3 linked regions of the Coturnix japonica genome follow. The protein of the gene in region 3 binds, or shares a complex with, the protein of the main gene of each other region. Links are inferred from orthologs where the notes say so. Each region holds a gene or a part of one and is shown on either strand. Other genes may lie near its edges.

Evidence for each region.
Region 1: IGF2BP1 (region 3) and G3BP1 share a complex: the UniProt entries of both Homo sapiens proteins name them as parts of the TAU mRNP complex. The link is inferred for Coturnix japonica from reciprocal best matches to the Homo sapiens genes IGF2BP1 and G3BP1.
Region 2: IGF2BP1 (region 3) and ELAVL4 share a complex: the UniProt entries of both Homo sapiens proteins name them as parts of the TAU mRNP complex. The link is inferred for Coturnix japonica from reciprocal best matches to the Homo sapiens genes IGF2BP1 and ELAVL4.

What each region holds. Positions count from the first base shown.
Region 1 is NC_029528.1:5,178,942-5,183,761, forward strand, and holds the end of G3BP1 (ras GTPase-activating protein-binding protein 1), read left to right. Parts: intron 1-143; coding exon 144-269; intron 270-351; coding exon 352-482; intron 483-1,661; coding exon 1,662-1,868; 3' UTR 1,869-3,945; downstream 3,946-4,820. UniProt on the Homo sapiens protein: Protein involved in various processes, such as stress granule formation and innate immunity. Plays an essential role in stress granule formation.
Region 2 is NC_029523.1:21,013,732-21,019,199, reverse strand, and holds the start of ELAVL4 (ELAV-like protein 4), read right to left. Parts: upstream 3,388-5,468; 5' UTR 3,328-3,387; coding exon 3,211-3,327; intron 1,381-3,210; exon of another isoform or gene 972-1,380; coding exon of another isoform or gene 963-971; intron 802-962; exon of another isoform or gene 771-801; coding exon of another isoform or gene 657-770; intron 534-656; exon of another isoform or gene 269-533; coding exon of another isoform or gene 245-268; intron 1-244. UniProt on the Homo sapiens protein: RNA-binding protein that is involved in the post-transcriptional regulation of mRNAs. Plays a role in the regulation of mRNA stability, alternative splicing and translation.
Region 3 is NC_029542.1:3,036,592-3,041,847, forward strand, and holds the start of IGF2BP1 (insulin-like growth factor 2 mRNA-binding protein 1), read right to left. Parts: upstream 3,332-5,256; 5' UTR 2,845-3,331; coding exon 2,670-2,844; intron 1,674-2,669; coding exon 1,613-1,673; intron 1-1,612. UniProt on the Homo sapiens protein: RNA-binding factor that recruits target transcripts to cytoplasmic protein-RNA complexes (mRNPs). This transcript 'caging' into mRNPs allows mRNA transport and transient storage.

The sequences.
Region 1 (4,820 bases), on a different chromosome or scaffold from region 3:
ATGATAGATAGCATGCAGTCAGAGAATTCCTGGTGTAGGGTGCTTACCTTCCTATATATAAGTGGGTAGACAGTTGGTAATTCTGTGATGCTGTTCTTTCTTTTGGGAACTGTCTTTCCTTAAACTTTACTCTTATGTTCAAGTTCGTGAGGGTGAACAAGGTGATGTGGAAACAAGACGGATTGTGAGGTACCCGGACAGTCACCAGCTCTTTGTTGGGAACCTTCCCCATGATGTGGATAAAAGTGAACTAAAAGACTTTTTCCAAAGTAAGTTGGTAGTTCTACTCCTTAAAATTTGTGGTTGCAGCCATTGGTGTGATCAACAGGACATTCTAATGTATGACCCAAGAACTTGGCTCTTCTCTTGCAGGCTATGGCAATGTGGTTGAACTGCGCATCAACAGTGGTGGGAAGCTCCCCAATTTTGGATTTGTGGTGTTTGATGATCCTGAGCCAGTTCAGAAGATCCTTAGCAACAGGGTAAATAAACTTTCAGTCAGGCTTGTTGCTCTGTTAATAACATGCAGTGTTTTTCAAGGTGCTTCCAACACAAAAAGGTACAGTCTGGTCCTGTGCACAAGTAATATCTTTACTTATTCAGTTGTTGACAGAAGGGGTTGAGAGGGAGAAACTATACTAATGTACAGGTTGAAAAGAGTTCCTTGTAACAAAGGAAAAGTACCTGCATAGTTTATCAGCAGTGATTGTTCATGGAAGATGTGCCTCCCTTGAGTGTGTATGGCATGGTGGTAGGCAGTGAATCTGGATGCATCTAAACTGTGCCATGTGCTCCCTTGCAGCATGGTTTTTCAGCAGGTAGTGGCATCCTTTCTTTAATACTGTATTGTCCCCTCTATTTCTGGCCTTAAATTGAAAGGTAGCTTATCATAGAATGGCTTAGATTGGGAGGAACCTTTAAAGATCATTTAGTTCCATCCTCCTTGCTGTGGATGGCAATTGCTTGTTCTAACTGGAGCCAGAAAGTGGATGCTGAATTCTTAGATGTGGAATGTGTAATAGGCTTTCAGTACTTACTCATTTAGGGTATCTTTCATGCAGGCTCATGTAAATGCTTAAGTAATAGTGATTGGACATGCTTTTCTAAAATTCAATTGTTTTAAAAATACCTGTTTAAACCTTTGAAAGCAATTTTACGTGCCTCCTACTTTGCTTTGAGGAGCACTAAATCCTTTTGCTTTGCAAGGAGACCCAGTGCTTTGGGCAAAAATGTGTCCTGAAACAGTAGACCAAAGTGAAGGTCTTCACTGGCTTGCATAGCAATGTGTTAGAGAGGGCCTGCCATTCTTCAAGCCATAGGATAAAGCTGTTTGGGACTCTGGTGACAGACTGAATTGGTGTGTATTAGTGGGATCAGGTTACCCTGCTAGTAGGTCAGGTTTTTTTTAAGAGGTATTGGAATTCTCAGCATTATCCTTTCTATCACATTTTCAAAAGTGTCACTTTTACACATCTCCAGCCACTTTTCATCTTCTATAGCCAAGCACGAAACAAGTTATATAGTTTGACCACAGATATATTCTAAGTTATGAATGCTTTTCTTTCCTTGGATGGGAAGAAGAGGATAAGAGGAGGTCGCAGAAATCTGCCTGACTTTTGGAGCCTGAATTCTTAACAAGAATATTTTCTCTTCTGTTACAGCCCATCATGTTCAGGGGAGAGGTGCGCTTGAATGTGGAAGAGAAGAAAACAAGAGCTGCCAGGGAGGGTGACCGCAGAGATAACAGACCACGCGGACCTGGAGGCACTCGCGGGGGGCTGGGAGGTGGGATTCGAGGGCCTCCACGTGGAGGAATGTCCCAGAAGCCAGGATTTGGAGCTGGAAGGGGGATCGGGCAACGCCAGTGAATGCATCGTGGATGTTGACACGGTGGTGCAAACCCTTTTTACCTGCAGATTTGTGAATTTCAGCCTTGGGTATCTTGGAATGTGGCCCTAGCCTGTTATAGACTGCTACGTTTGATACTATTTTGGCCCCTTTTTGTTTGTGTTATGGTTTTGTGATTGATTTATTTTTTTCTAGTCCTTGTCCCAGATTCCAGCTTTGTGGAACAACGCTTTAGGAAAAGTGGATTTTAAAAACAAAAAAGAAAAGAACTGAATTTTCTTGCTCACCTCAAACTTACGGACTGGATTTTTTTGGTACCAGTGGTCTTTCCTAGAAGAACGTCTTTGTTTTCTTTTTTTTTTTTTCCTCCCCTCTCTACTGAATTTGGGTGCATTTCAGTCAGTGGAATAATATTTCACATGCATGCGTTCAAGAGCCTATAGGAAAACATAGTACTTGGCAAGTATTTCAAGGTCAGGAAAATAAAACTTTGATTTATCCCTTGAGGGTCATACGAACATCATCTGATCTGGAGTTGTTGCCACCCTGAAAATTGACGTTCACCTTTTCTCTTTGTGGCGCTGTAAGAGAGAGAAAAAAAAAAGTGGAATAATGAGTATCCATAGAATCTTGTCTTTCTTTTTTTGATACATGATCACGGAAAAGAATTCTAACTGCTGTTTTACCACTTTGGAAAAATTTTGGATTGTGGGATAGGTTTTAAATGTTTAGAACTTGACTCTCAAAACACTTTTCCTGAACTTGTGGAATTTTTTTATTGAAATAGGGAGGTTTTTTTTCATGTTTAGTTTGTATTTGTATAAAAAAAAAAAAGCAAAATTGTTGTGCCTTCTATTTATCTCTCATTCCAGTCTTGGCAAATTGTTTAAAAAAAAAATAATAAAAAAGGTCTAGATTTGCTTTATCAAGTCAAGAGTACGCTGGAGTTCTTCCATGGGGAAGATGTACCTTCCTTCTGTTGCTAGGTTTGCAGGTAGAGGTGGTTATAGCTCAAGTCTGTAATGCTGTCTGTTCTTCTTCAGTTTGATGGTGTTTGAGTAATCAAAACCAAGTATTTCATGGATGCAGAGTTTGGGAATTTTGCTTTTGAGGCTGGGCAGTTTCCATCACTGATGTTATAGAAGTACTTCTGTCATGTTCTCCACGTTTCTCTCTACTGTGATAGTTTTGCCATTTAGGCATTAATTTAATTCCCTGCTTCTGCCAGACCTGATAGATGGCATAAGCACAGAAGGTGCCTCTCTGTCCTGGATTACTACATGGAACACTCTCCAGCACTCCTAAAGAAGCTGAAGCTGATTTAAAAAATAAATATAAATTATGGGGATTTTAGGATCAAAACAGCACTATATTTCTGTGTAAATATCTGGATAGCAATGGCAGTCTTGAGTTTACACCAGGCCTCAGCATTCTTGGTTATATACAAGAACTATGTAGTAAGCTTCTTTATCTGTGCTAGGGTTTACTGTTTCCATGTTTCTTTGGTTTATTGATATAACCTCTGTGCAAATGCAGTACAGACTTCTTGTGCTTTGCTTGCTCTAAAGCTAGAGCAAACCTGCCCTACTGCGAAGGGTGGGTAGGTATTACCTGTTACAGAGCAGTAACTTACTGTCACTTACTTGCCAAACATAGTGGTTGAACCTGGCTGTACTGAATGTCAGTAGTTGGGTTTTGTTCTGTTTTGGCTTCGTCTTTAGTGTTGCGTCATTTCCCTCCTGAATGTTTCTCAGATGTCTCTATGAAGTGGAGGAGAGCTGAAATGAAACAGCAGTAGCTGTTTGTGTGTGCCCTCTCCCAGGCAGAAGTGCTAGAAATGCATACTGCTTCCTCTTGTGGTCATAACTGGTATTTATTTTCCTTTGTGGGGGGGAGGAAAGAAGAAACAGCTTTTCTCATTAGGAGCAGCCATCGAGTGAAGGTGTGCGACAGAACTGTTTCACTGAACTGTCCTTGTTTGTGTTAATTCTCATATGTTGTTTCTGGTGTTCTTGATGTTAAATCCAAGACTGCAGTCACAGGTTGCACTTCCCAGCTGTGGAGGTGTTGTTAATAAAAGTTTCCATTGCTCTTAAATCTGTGAAAGCATCCATAAACGTGGGGGAAAAAAACCCAACTTTTGTGTAGTTTTGGAGTCAGACAATTCTGGCTCACTTTCATCTAAGCTGAGAACTGACTGAGGAATGTCAGTGAAGAACTGAAGCCTGTGAAGTGTATGCTTGGTTTTGTGTTAATGATACTGGCTATGTTAAACAGTAAGACCCGGAGAGTGATCTTGTCAGGTGACAGGTGAAATAAAAGATTTACAGAAACCTTTTTCTTGGGTATCTTGTACAGAAACACTTCTCAGAAGCAAGTTATGCTGCCAGCACCTGAAATGGAACATGGGGTGACACTTCAGGATGTCTTTATGGTTGTGTTTTTGTGCTTACCAAATAACCAACTATGCTGGAAAGACCTATGAGACTTCATATTGGCTTTTTTTGTTTAAAGCTCAGTAGCCTCATGCTCTTCTGGTTTGTGCACTGACTGTGCTGTTGGAAACGCTATCTGTTTTCTGAAGTCTTCAATTCATTGTGTGTTTTAATGGTGAAGGTGTGATTGGTTGTCTCTGACTGCACTTAGGCTGGGATACCTACAGCAAAGGTAACGTCTGATGTTTAAATTCCAGAAGCTCTTTTTGGATAGAAAATGCCACAAGGAGATTTCAATTGAGCAGAACCCCCACATTTCCCTGTTGGAACCTCTGGTTTAATCTGAATGGTGAAGATTATGAGTTGGTCCCAGCAGCTTCTGATTCCGCATCTGACAATCTTCTCAATCAAAGTGTATTTTTAGTTCTTTCTTTACGTGCTGCCTGAGGCGAAGAGCGAATGACACACTGGCAGTTTCCCTAATTACTTCCTGCTAAAGCATGCGCAAATTATCTCCGTGATTATTTCATTTCCATG
Region 2 (5,468 bases), on a different chromosome or scaffold from region 3:
AGAAGAAGGAGAAAAAAAAAAAATAATATATATATATATATATATATATATATATAAAGATGCACAAAGCGCACAGCCCGCAGCCCCGCACTACCTGACACCCCACGCTCGGCCCCACGCGGGGCCACCCGCACCCCCCGCGTTGCTCCCGGCCCGACGCGGCGCTGCCCATCGCGGTGGCGGCTCCCGAACAAAGAGCCCCGCGCGGTGCGGTGCGGCGGGGCGAGGCGCCGAGCTCACTTACCATCTTCAGGCCATTCCACTCCATCTGGGATCGCCAAGATGGACCCTCAGAGCCCCTCACCGAGTCGGAAGCAAAGAGAGCGTTATGTAAAAGCTGACATTCCTTCTTACAGCGCGGCTGCCCAGCGATGCAACAAAATCGACATAGACTAGGCGCTGCAACACACACAGCCTCCTCCTCTTTTTATGAGGTCATGACAGGAAACTCTTTGAAATACAATATGCAGCATTTACCGAAGCTCATATAAATCACTCGCTTTTAAAATTACCATACCTATTGCGCAGTCCACCAAAAGAAAATTACCAATCTCGAGGCTTTTTTTTTTTGTCCTCCCCTCTCCTCCCCCCCCCCTCCTTTTTCCCCCCACCCCCCCTCGAGGATTTCGCATCTCCGAACGCCGCCGTGCACGCACCCCCCGCTCGCACAAAGCCACGCACCGCCCGGCATCAGCGCTGCTCTCCGCTCCGAGCGCACCGCCGCCACCTCGCAACCAGAGTACATCCTTTATTAAAGGACGCGCAGACATTAAATATGAAAGGGAGGGAGGGAGAGAGAGAGAGAGAGGGAAGAGAGAGGGAGAGATCATGGACAAGCACAGCAAGCCACCCCCGTGTGAGACAGGCGGAGAGCGATGCACGTTTGGGGAAATCTATGTCAGCCTCTACGTCTACCTCTACAGACACCCGCTGCGACCGAGCTTAAATCTACCAATACCTACCATAACCATTCTTAATGGCAAATATTGGGTCTTGAAAGGCTTCAACTCTTCTACAGACTGGCTAAGGTTTTCGGGGACCTGACTTTTATTGGTATTTGTTAAGATCCACCAAGCACAGTGTGGGCAGCGGGCGCTGTGGGCGCGGGGCGGGCGGTGTAGCCGCGCTGCCCGCTCGCTGCTGGCGCTGCCGCTGCTGGCGCTGCTGCCGCCGGCCCCGCGCCGCGCCCATTTATGGCCCCATCTGTCAGCGGCGAACGCGCGCTCATTGGCCGCCGCCGCGCGGGGAGGCGTCGCGACATCAGGTGCTATTGAAATGAGCCGCCGCCAGATTGACGGTGTTAATGAGCCGCTGACCTCCGCCCGCAGCGGCACCGGGCGGGGTTCCGAACCGCGCCGCTCGTTAAGGCCCAGCGCGGCCCCTCACCGCCTCGACTCGGCCCTCCCAGCACCGCCGCCCGGAGGGGAGCCGGGCTCGAGGCCTGCTGCCCCCTGCGCCCCAACGGCCGCACCGCAACGCCCCTCCATGGGGCTGGGGGCGGCCCGGCGCTCGGCCGGCATTGTGCTGAGCGGAGCGTGCCCGAGTTCACCGTGAGCGCAAACACACGCGGCCTCCGCTGACAGAACAGCCGCCCCACGCAGCGCATCTACCGCCCCGAGAGCGGCGGGTTAGTGACAGCTGTCACACAGCAGCGCATTCCTATCCCATATTCTGAGATTCCCATTCCACATTCTGAGATCCCTATCCCATATTCTGAGATTCCCATCCCATATTCCAAGATCCCTATCCCATATTCCTGAGATCCCCATTCCACATCCTGAGATCCCTAGTCCATATTCTGAGATTCCTTGCTCGCAGGTTGGCCGAGCCAGCACGGCATCCTTTCATCACAGCTGACCTGGAGTTGGCTTTCACCCCCACTAAAGCGCAAAGCTCCACACGCACGCAGGGATCGCCTCATTCCACCATTCCTGGCAGTAAAGATGGTCCCTCATAGTTCAGTACTAACGGAGCGCTCCTAAACCTGGGGTGAAAGCGGAGCAGTGGGTGAGCACCACACTAAGAGCACACAGAGCTGCTTCTGAGCAGGAAAGGCAGCTCTGAACGAACCACTACACACACCTCTGAAAACACCCAGCTGGACAGACACTGCTCTACAAGTTACGCTTTATTTCTCAATCTCAATGTGCCCCCTCGGAGCTGCTCAGCTCAGAGCCGACATGCCGTACACCTCACATTGTACACAGTCGTACACACGCTCACCGAACACATGAATACAATGTATTAAATACAGTCAGATACAAAGCCCAGCTCCAAACCGACCCAGCACAGAGAAAAGCGCATGTACGAGACATCACACAGCCTGGCTGTGGAATGAGTACTGAATTCAATTAAAATAGGAACAATGTAAGGATGCTGCGGAGGGTTTCTCTCCCCATACATCTTTTTGAGCACATTTCTAGCTTGGTAAAAACTAGCAGAGATTAAAGTCACACAGAAGATCCGTTTCCCAACTCAAATATAGAGGTGACCCACTCAAACACACCGGCATCACAGTGCTACAGAGCCGCTTTATTACCATACATTCACGTGCAAATATACACCGAATACTGAAGTTAAATTTGTAATGCAAATTTTTTTTACTTATGGTCTCTTCTGGGTTAATAACAATTAGAGAAGAAAACCCAGAAATTATTTTTTCATGTCTTTTCCAAGTTGAGCTCACTTGGTTGCTATAAACTGGTTTCTGCATATCACACGATTCAGCCATTTTTCTGAAGCAATAATTGAACACTGCTCCGCTAACAAAATAAATCAGCTCTTTCGTTTCTCTATAAATCCAGGTGCTCCGCACACCGACCGCGTTCCCCACAAACACCCCCACACACACACAGGCTTTCTGAGGAGCACTAAAACAAACGCTCAACCGTCCTCAGAGGCCTCCCCTCCGTAAAGACAAAGGCAGAATCCTATTGTTGGAAAAGAAAAGTCAACCTTATTCTCTCGTCTTTCCAATAGTACCATTTATCTCTCAGGGTAAGCGCCTGGCCACGGCATCACAGTTGTGGCACATTCGTAAAGCATCAAATTCTCAATACAGCCCCTCCAGAATCCACCAGCAAGCATATTTTTAATGCAGTCTTCCATCCCCACAAAATAGAAACTTGTCTTAAACAGCTTATCCAATATCAAAATGAAATCACAGGGTTGTTTCCCAGCCCCCCCACCCCCCCTCCTCCCTCTCCTTACCATAAATGAGCAGTTTCTTGACTCATTAATGACAGTTTCCCTTAAAAGAAGTGATCTCATATCACTGAGCCCCTCTCCACCACGCATACATCCCAAAGGTTGCGGGTATCTTAGCATCAGTAGCCGCTAGCAAGCTCTCTCATACAGAGCCCAGATGGACTATACCAGAAGCCAATTCAGCGTTAATAACTACCTACTCTGTGCAGTTTAGAAGCCTTACGTGGCATAATGTCCTAGGCAACAGCAGCCGATTGAAACCGCAAATAAAAGACAACCCAATTCTCCAAAAGCATCGAAAGGAAAGGAAAAAAAAAACCATAATAAATCAAAGAACGATTTTTTTAATCTCTTACTTTCAGAAGATTAATCTGAAGCCTTCATAAACATAGGAAAAAAAGGAGAAAAAACAGATGCTGCCCAGAAAAAGTGACAAAATATTACCTCATTATTTAACAAAGCAGCATTAAGCGTCCTGCTGATTTCAAACATCTTGCCACAGATTTTGGTTAAGAGAAACAGAAAGAATCCTTTGCAAGCCCTCTGTCTGCAAAGGGTTCTTCAATTTTCTTGCGCACAACAGAATAGTCAATATGTTATTTCCCTAGAGTTCGCACATTAAAACATCTAGTCAGTGAGCTGAATTTTCCCCCTTATCACACAGTAGACTCCTGTTATATGTACTGCTCTCTTTGCAAGATTAGCCTGCCCCAAACATGGCTGTTGTTTAAACTATTCTTTAAAGTAACAGTTCACTCCATAACCACCAGGTGGGCAGTGTACACAAATTCAAGTAACCATCTTAAACATTTCTTCTTGCAATCGCTTTAGGTTGTGATACAGCAGAACCCACACCCCTACACTTATCAAGCAGGAGGAGGAAAAAAGCATGTATATGATTCAAATACATACGTATGGTTTGCACTGTTCTGTGCACTTCCCTCTCAGGGAGGGCAAATAATTTAAAAAACCCAAAACTTTCACCATTATTTTTTTAAAGGGAACTTAAAATTTACACAGGAGCATTTCATTCAGCAAATAAAAGGACTAAATGGTTACACCCAGTCAGTTCAGAGAACAAAATGTAATTAGAACGGAAAACGCACCCATTGACATGGTCTGTACTGCGGAACAAAATTAGCATCAAGCTCAGCGTGACAGTGCGTAAGGAAAACACAACATCCAGCACGTAAATAATTCACATGTGGGTAGAGTCTGTTAGGAAATACTAACCATACCTCCAAGCAAAATCACAGACAACTTGATAAGATAATGCCATGACGTAGTTTGGCTTAAATTCATTTATGAAATCACTGTTGCACGCATCAAAGCACATGACTGAAAAATGCATGGGAAGAATACACTTTAACAGTGCACGAATCTCCTCATTTATCAAACTCCCCATTCCCATGTCTGCGAGCTTCCACCAACCCCTTCTTCCATAAGGCCAAATACCTCAAGGAATACTTCCATTACTACAGAAAACAAATGTACTCTGTGCTCTACAGCAACACCCAGAGGCCTGAATGAGATCGGGATCCTTCACACTCGGTGCTATGCAAACTACTAAAAGTTGATTCTTAACAAAGGATTTGAAAACATACTAAGGGAGCACAAAACAGATGTGTGAGAAGGAACAACAAATACCAAGTGCCTCTGCAGGCCAGGCCAGACAGCTGTGAGAACTTCCAGCCACTACCTGCACAAAGGCAGAACCCAAAAGGTTATTTTCTGTGATTAAACAAAAAAAAAAGCATGATACGGACCAAGGCTTCTTTGGATTTTTCACCTACAAAGTATTGCTATTTCTTTCATACACAGCAATCCTTGCTGAGTAAGTACACACAGAGTAGCGGTTTTCTTTGTTGGCCTTTAACTAATATTAAAGTGATGCAGTAATGACTTAACCTTCTTGAATATGTATTGAGTTTCAAGTCATCCCTTTTATATGAGGAGAAAGGTTATTTGCATCGATTTCTGTTTGCATGAAATAAGCTTATTTTCTCATTCACCATATGCCTTGAACACTAATTAAAAGTGTCACTTTCTTCTAATGTAAAAGCATAACCATTCAGTAAATAAGTATCCTTGGCTTTCTGGACTTTGTGATAATCTATTTAAGGACTTTTTATTTCCAGGTAACTTCAGTGCTTGGATTACTGTATACTCCTCTGATTTCAAATGAAGTGTTTTATAAATATACGTTTCCCTCCCCCTCACCCCCAACAAAAAGAACGAAAAAAAAGAGCCAGAAGTGCATC
Region 3 (5,256 bases):
TCTCGCCCCCAGCCTCAGGATTTAGCAACCAGACGTAATGAACTGCACTTCTCCTGGTTATTAAACCACGCTAACGAACCTTCCCTTTGCTTCCACCCATTGTAAAGTTTCACCCAGCATTTCTTTGAATTACAGACGCCAAAGAAATATTTACATTTCCATTGAATTTCTCCCGGAGTGCTCTTAGCAAAAGTCAGAGGAGGGAAAAGAGGGGAGCAAGGAAATACTCTGAGATCTTCTCTGCTCCCCCAACCCATTGATCACCAAAAGGACTACAAATAATTAAGAAATCGTGATGCATCCCCCTCCCCTTTTTATTTTTTCTGATTTATTTTTGAGCATTATTACGTTACCCTTCGTAGGGTAATTGCCTTTCCAATAACACACTTAGATTCATTGATACTGGAGCCAAAGGGAGATTCTGAGCGTTGTAATGACTGATATCGATCCCCATTTCACAAGGAGGGTCTGGAAAACCCTACAGGGGACATTATTAAATGGAGTTCTGCCTTTAGGGTCGGCTCCACCGCGGGGCATGGCCCCCTGCAAGGAAAGGATTGCTGCCAAACCCCACAGCCTCCCAGTGGGGCCAGGTCTACACAGGCTCCCCAAAGGGGTCCTCAGCCAGCAGAAAAAAAACAAGAGTTTGGGGAAGGAAGAGTTTCCTTCTACACCATGTTGAGCGCCGGGGCGGCCGCCCCATCACGTGGCGGAGCGGCTGCATGGCCCAGCGCGGGCACCAGGCCCTGAGGAGAGCTCACCCAGCTCTAGGGAAGGGATCAAGATCAACCCAAAGACCCCCACACACAACAGTGAATCCCCCCTGGGCCCAGCAGTTCACTGCCTGAACCCTCAGGGCCCTCCAGGCCCAGCGTCCCGCGCGCCCTCAGCAACAAAGGGCCAAGAAGATGGGGAGGGCTGGGTAGGCCGAGCTGGGCCGCAACGCCTGGGGAAAGCATGAAGAAATGGGGTTCCAGCCCTAAAAAACAACAAGTTGAGGGGCAACAAGGAGCTAAACCAGCACCCCACACAGCCGGGCTGAAAACCTCACACCAACACGCAACCAGCCCCATTTTTATTTAATTACTGATGTTCGTTTTTAAACCCTCGCCCTCCATCCCAGGCAAATTTCACCCGTAAATGACAAAATAAGCAAAGAGGGTGTTTAAAAACTTGGAAATAACAAAAGGTTTTGGGGTCCTTCTCATGGAGCAACACTGGGAAATTCTTCCAGTGCCACAAGTTTGAAAATTCCAACCCCAAACGCCATTCATCACTTGGGTGAATGGAAGGCGAATCGTCGGGACCCAGGGTTGTTTTTTGGGGTTGTTGGTCTTATTTTTTCCTAACAAACAAACTGAAGCAAAACTTAATCCCAAAGAAAAGTTTCCTTTAAAAATACACTAAAGATACGAAAGGGAACGCTGATCCTCAGAGCCGTTCCTCACCTCGCTGGGCCATACCCAAAGCCAAACCACCACCATATCTCCTTCCACATGCACATATTTGGATATAATTTTTTTGCCTCCTTCCTCTTACGTTATTATTTCCCCCTCCTCCCCCCCTCCAAAAAATAAAACATAAAGAAAAAGTAATTAAAACACCGTATTACCTTTGCTTTTTAGGTACTGAGTGTTCAATCTCTAGCTGTTTTCCATGCAGCTCCACTTTCCCTAAAAACAAAATGTGGCTGTTTTGTATGATCTGGGTGGGGTGGTCAGAAAGCTTTGGGTAACATTCTATCATGTAAAACTTCCCATTTCATTCCAATCACTACAAGCTGCATTAAAAAAGGCTTTTTCGTGTGTGCGTGTGATCATAAGTGTGCTATATTAAATATAAGGCTGACTTCTAATGCGGAGCAATGAGTTCGCCGTCTGAACAATGTTCCTTAGGAATATTTAATCCCGTCCTTCATTCAGCTCTGCTCCGAGCGAAAGAAAACGAGGCAGAATATATTGAGATCAATTTTTTTTTCCCCCCTCGAATTCCACGCGTTTGAGCCGTTCACAACAACTCCGGCCAGATCATTCCTCATCCCCATTAAAAAGGGGCTCAAAAATTGTTTAACTCCACGCTACGAATGGATTTCTCTTGGAAAATGGGGGCGGATTTCCACACCGCCGGTTTATATATTAATTGGGGGGGGGAGGGAAGGGAAAAGAAGAGGGGAGCAGCAATGGGGAGAGCCCGGAGGGAGCAGCTTTAGGCGAGGGGAAAATATTCCAACGTTTTCAAAAATTCACTGTTTCCCGGGGAGCTTTTCTTTCCACCCCCCCCCTTCCTTCCCTTCCCACTCTCCCCCCCCTCCGTCTTGCGAGCAGCATGGCGACCTTCGCGCTCCTCTGCGCATCACATGCCCCAGGAAACCCAGTTTGAAATCAAAATGGCCAAAGTCCCACCCCACTGTCGCGACGGGACCCCCGCATCGAACACCACCGGGACGGGCACCGTGTAACCCCCACGAAGCCATTGGGAACAGTGGGGACCCCTCTCCTTCTCTCCCCCCTCCAAGTGCTCGCTGTTAATGGGGTAGAAGCGGGGTCTGCCCCGCTCGCTGATACAAACCCCGACGGAGCGTAACGGCCCGAACCCCCCCCTATTCCCCACCCGAATCCCGACCGGATCCCGCAACTCTCCGATCGAAAGAACCGAAGGACACCGCTTACCCGAAAAAGTTTCGATGGCTTTCATGGCCCATTGCTCGTCGGGGCAGTCCACAAAGGCATAACCGGACTTAACCAAAAACTGCCCGCTGAAAGAAATCTTATGGTCGTTGAAGACTTTTTCCAAGTCGGCCGGAGTCACGCTCTCATTTAGGTTCCCAATATACAGCTTGTTCATGGTGGCTGCCGGCGGGGGGCGGCGGGCGGGCGGTGGCGGCGCGCCGGGGCTCGGAGCGCGGCTGCCGGGGGGGCTCCCACCGTACGCCCGCACCGTCGGACAGCAGCCGCCGTCTGCCACCCCACAGCCGGGTTTGAAGCTCGGTGGTCCTTTTCTTTGCACACTCCCTCCCCCCTCCTTTGCTTTTTTTTTTGTTTCGGGGTGGGGTTTTTTTTGTTTTTTTTTTTTTTTTTTTTTTTTTTGGTCGTTTGGTGGAGTTTTCCTCGTAGAGGGGCGCGGCGGCGGCTGCTGCTGTTAGAGGTGGGGGGTCCTAAAGAAGAGGGGGGTGGCTGCAATAGGCGACGGCTGCGGGGAAGGAGGCGGTGGCGGCGCCGGCTGCGGGGGCCCCCAAAGCGGCGGAGCGGCACCGGAGTGTCACCGGACGCCTTTGGGCAGCCGGGCACCGCCTCTAAATAAAACCGACCTGGAAAATGAGTGAAAATGTTTGCGGGAGGAAGCCACGTGGTGATGCAGGAGGGCCCAGCCCCCGGGGGGGAGGGGCCGGACGATGGGGGTGGGAGGGAAGGGGAGGGGGGGGGGAGGGGGCAGCTTCCACTTAATTATTTATTTTAATTTAAATACTACGTTATTTACCTCCACACATACACACACACACACCCCTCTTCGGATCGGGGAGCGCACCCACTCCGTGTTCTCTTCACTACCACCACCACCATCCCCCCCTTCTCATCACCCCCCCACTCCACCCTTCGGGCCCCGCCCGTCCCGTCCCGTCGGAGGCACTTTCCCATCTGTGCAGCCTCCAGCCCCCATCGCGCCCCTCCCCCTACATCTCTCCCATCCCCCACCCCCCCTTCCCCCCGGTGCCTGAATGGGATTTTTCTGGGTGTAAAAAAAAAAAAAGAAAAAAAAAGAAAATAAAAAAAGAAAGAAAAAAAGAAGAAGAAGAAAAAAAAAATCCAACTTCAGCATCAAAGGGGCCGGGAGGTCCCCTGGCGCCAGGGGAGCGGGGCTGCAGGGGAACGGCCCGACCCGGCGGGGTGAGCGGAGGAGCCCCCGGGGAGGGCTATTGTCCCCGGTATTGTTTTAAGCCCTTCATGTGCAGCCCTGCGGAAGCCTTCGGGGAAGGGGGAAGGCTCCTCCTGGCACAAAAGGGCCCCACGGTGCAGCGGGATCGCTCCCCCCGAGACACAGGGGGGGGGGGGGGGGGGGAGACGACGCGTCCCGTCGGCAGAGAGAAGCAGCCCCCCATCCCCCCCGTCCCTAGAAACCCTCCCTCCTCTTTCCCTCTTCGCCTTTTCTGGAGGCTTTTTATTTTTAGGTTCGAGATGGATTGAAAATAGCAGCGACCCCCCCCCCCCCCATCACCACCACCACCCCCCAACCGGCACCACCCACCCGGCCGCCTTCCTGCTGCCTCCCCCGACGGGGCGGGCGGGGGGACCCCGGTGCTCCGGGGGCTCGGTGCGGGCGGCTGCCGGGTGCGGAGGGGCGGGGGCGGCCGTGACTCCCTCCCGTGCATGTAGAGGCACGGGCCGGCCCCTCCGTGCCTGCAATTAAATGTAACGCGCTCCTGCCTGCCTTGCCCGCCGGGCCGGAGGTTCCGCTTTCCCCCGTCCCCCCGATCAAAAAAAATAAAATAAAATAAATTAGAAAAAAAAATTTAAAAAATATATTTTAAAAACGAATGAATTTCCCGATTTAAATAATAATTTTTCCTCCATAGAAAGAAGCGTTCCGGGATCGTTTAAACCGAGCAATATACAAGCATTGTGCCCCCCCCCCCTTCCCCATACCCCACCCGGGATGGCACAGCGCTATAGTGCGGTCGGGACGAACCCCCCCCTCCTTTCCCGCAGTGCTGAGCTGTTCTTCGGGTTCTCATCGTCCATCTCTCCTCTATGGCAAAGCTGGGAGGAAGAGCCACGTGGAGAATTTGTTAGTAAATAAATTTGGTGGTAGAATTCGAGTGTAAAGCTTTAGAAATAGGCGCTGCTACCCAGGGGTGTTGCAGTGCTTTCAAGTGCTTCGGCCACGTAGGAAACTCGTATAAAGATCAGGGAAATTTAAAGTGAAGAGCCTTCAGCTCTTCCTCCTCTGTCCGATGCATTCTGCTGTCCTGGGGTATTGGCTTTCCAAACACAGAGATGTTGTTCACAGTTTGGTGTCCTCTCCTCAAAGCAACAAACTGAATCCACCAAAGGGGTTTTTGGGTGTAACCTCAGCTCCACATTCACAGGTGGGAAGAGGAAAGCAATGAAATTTGGGAATAAATCTCCTGCAGCTCCCAAAGTGGCTGGGAAATGGAGTGTTCACCCACAGACACAGTAGGCACAACTGCTGCCTGCTTCATATCCAGGTTCTAATCTGGACCCAAATAGTTGTTGCTGGTTTACAGAGCACCTTCTCCGG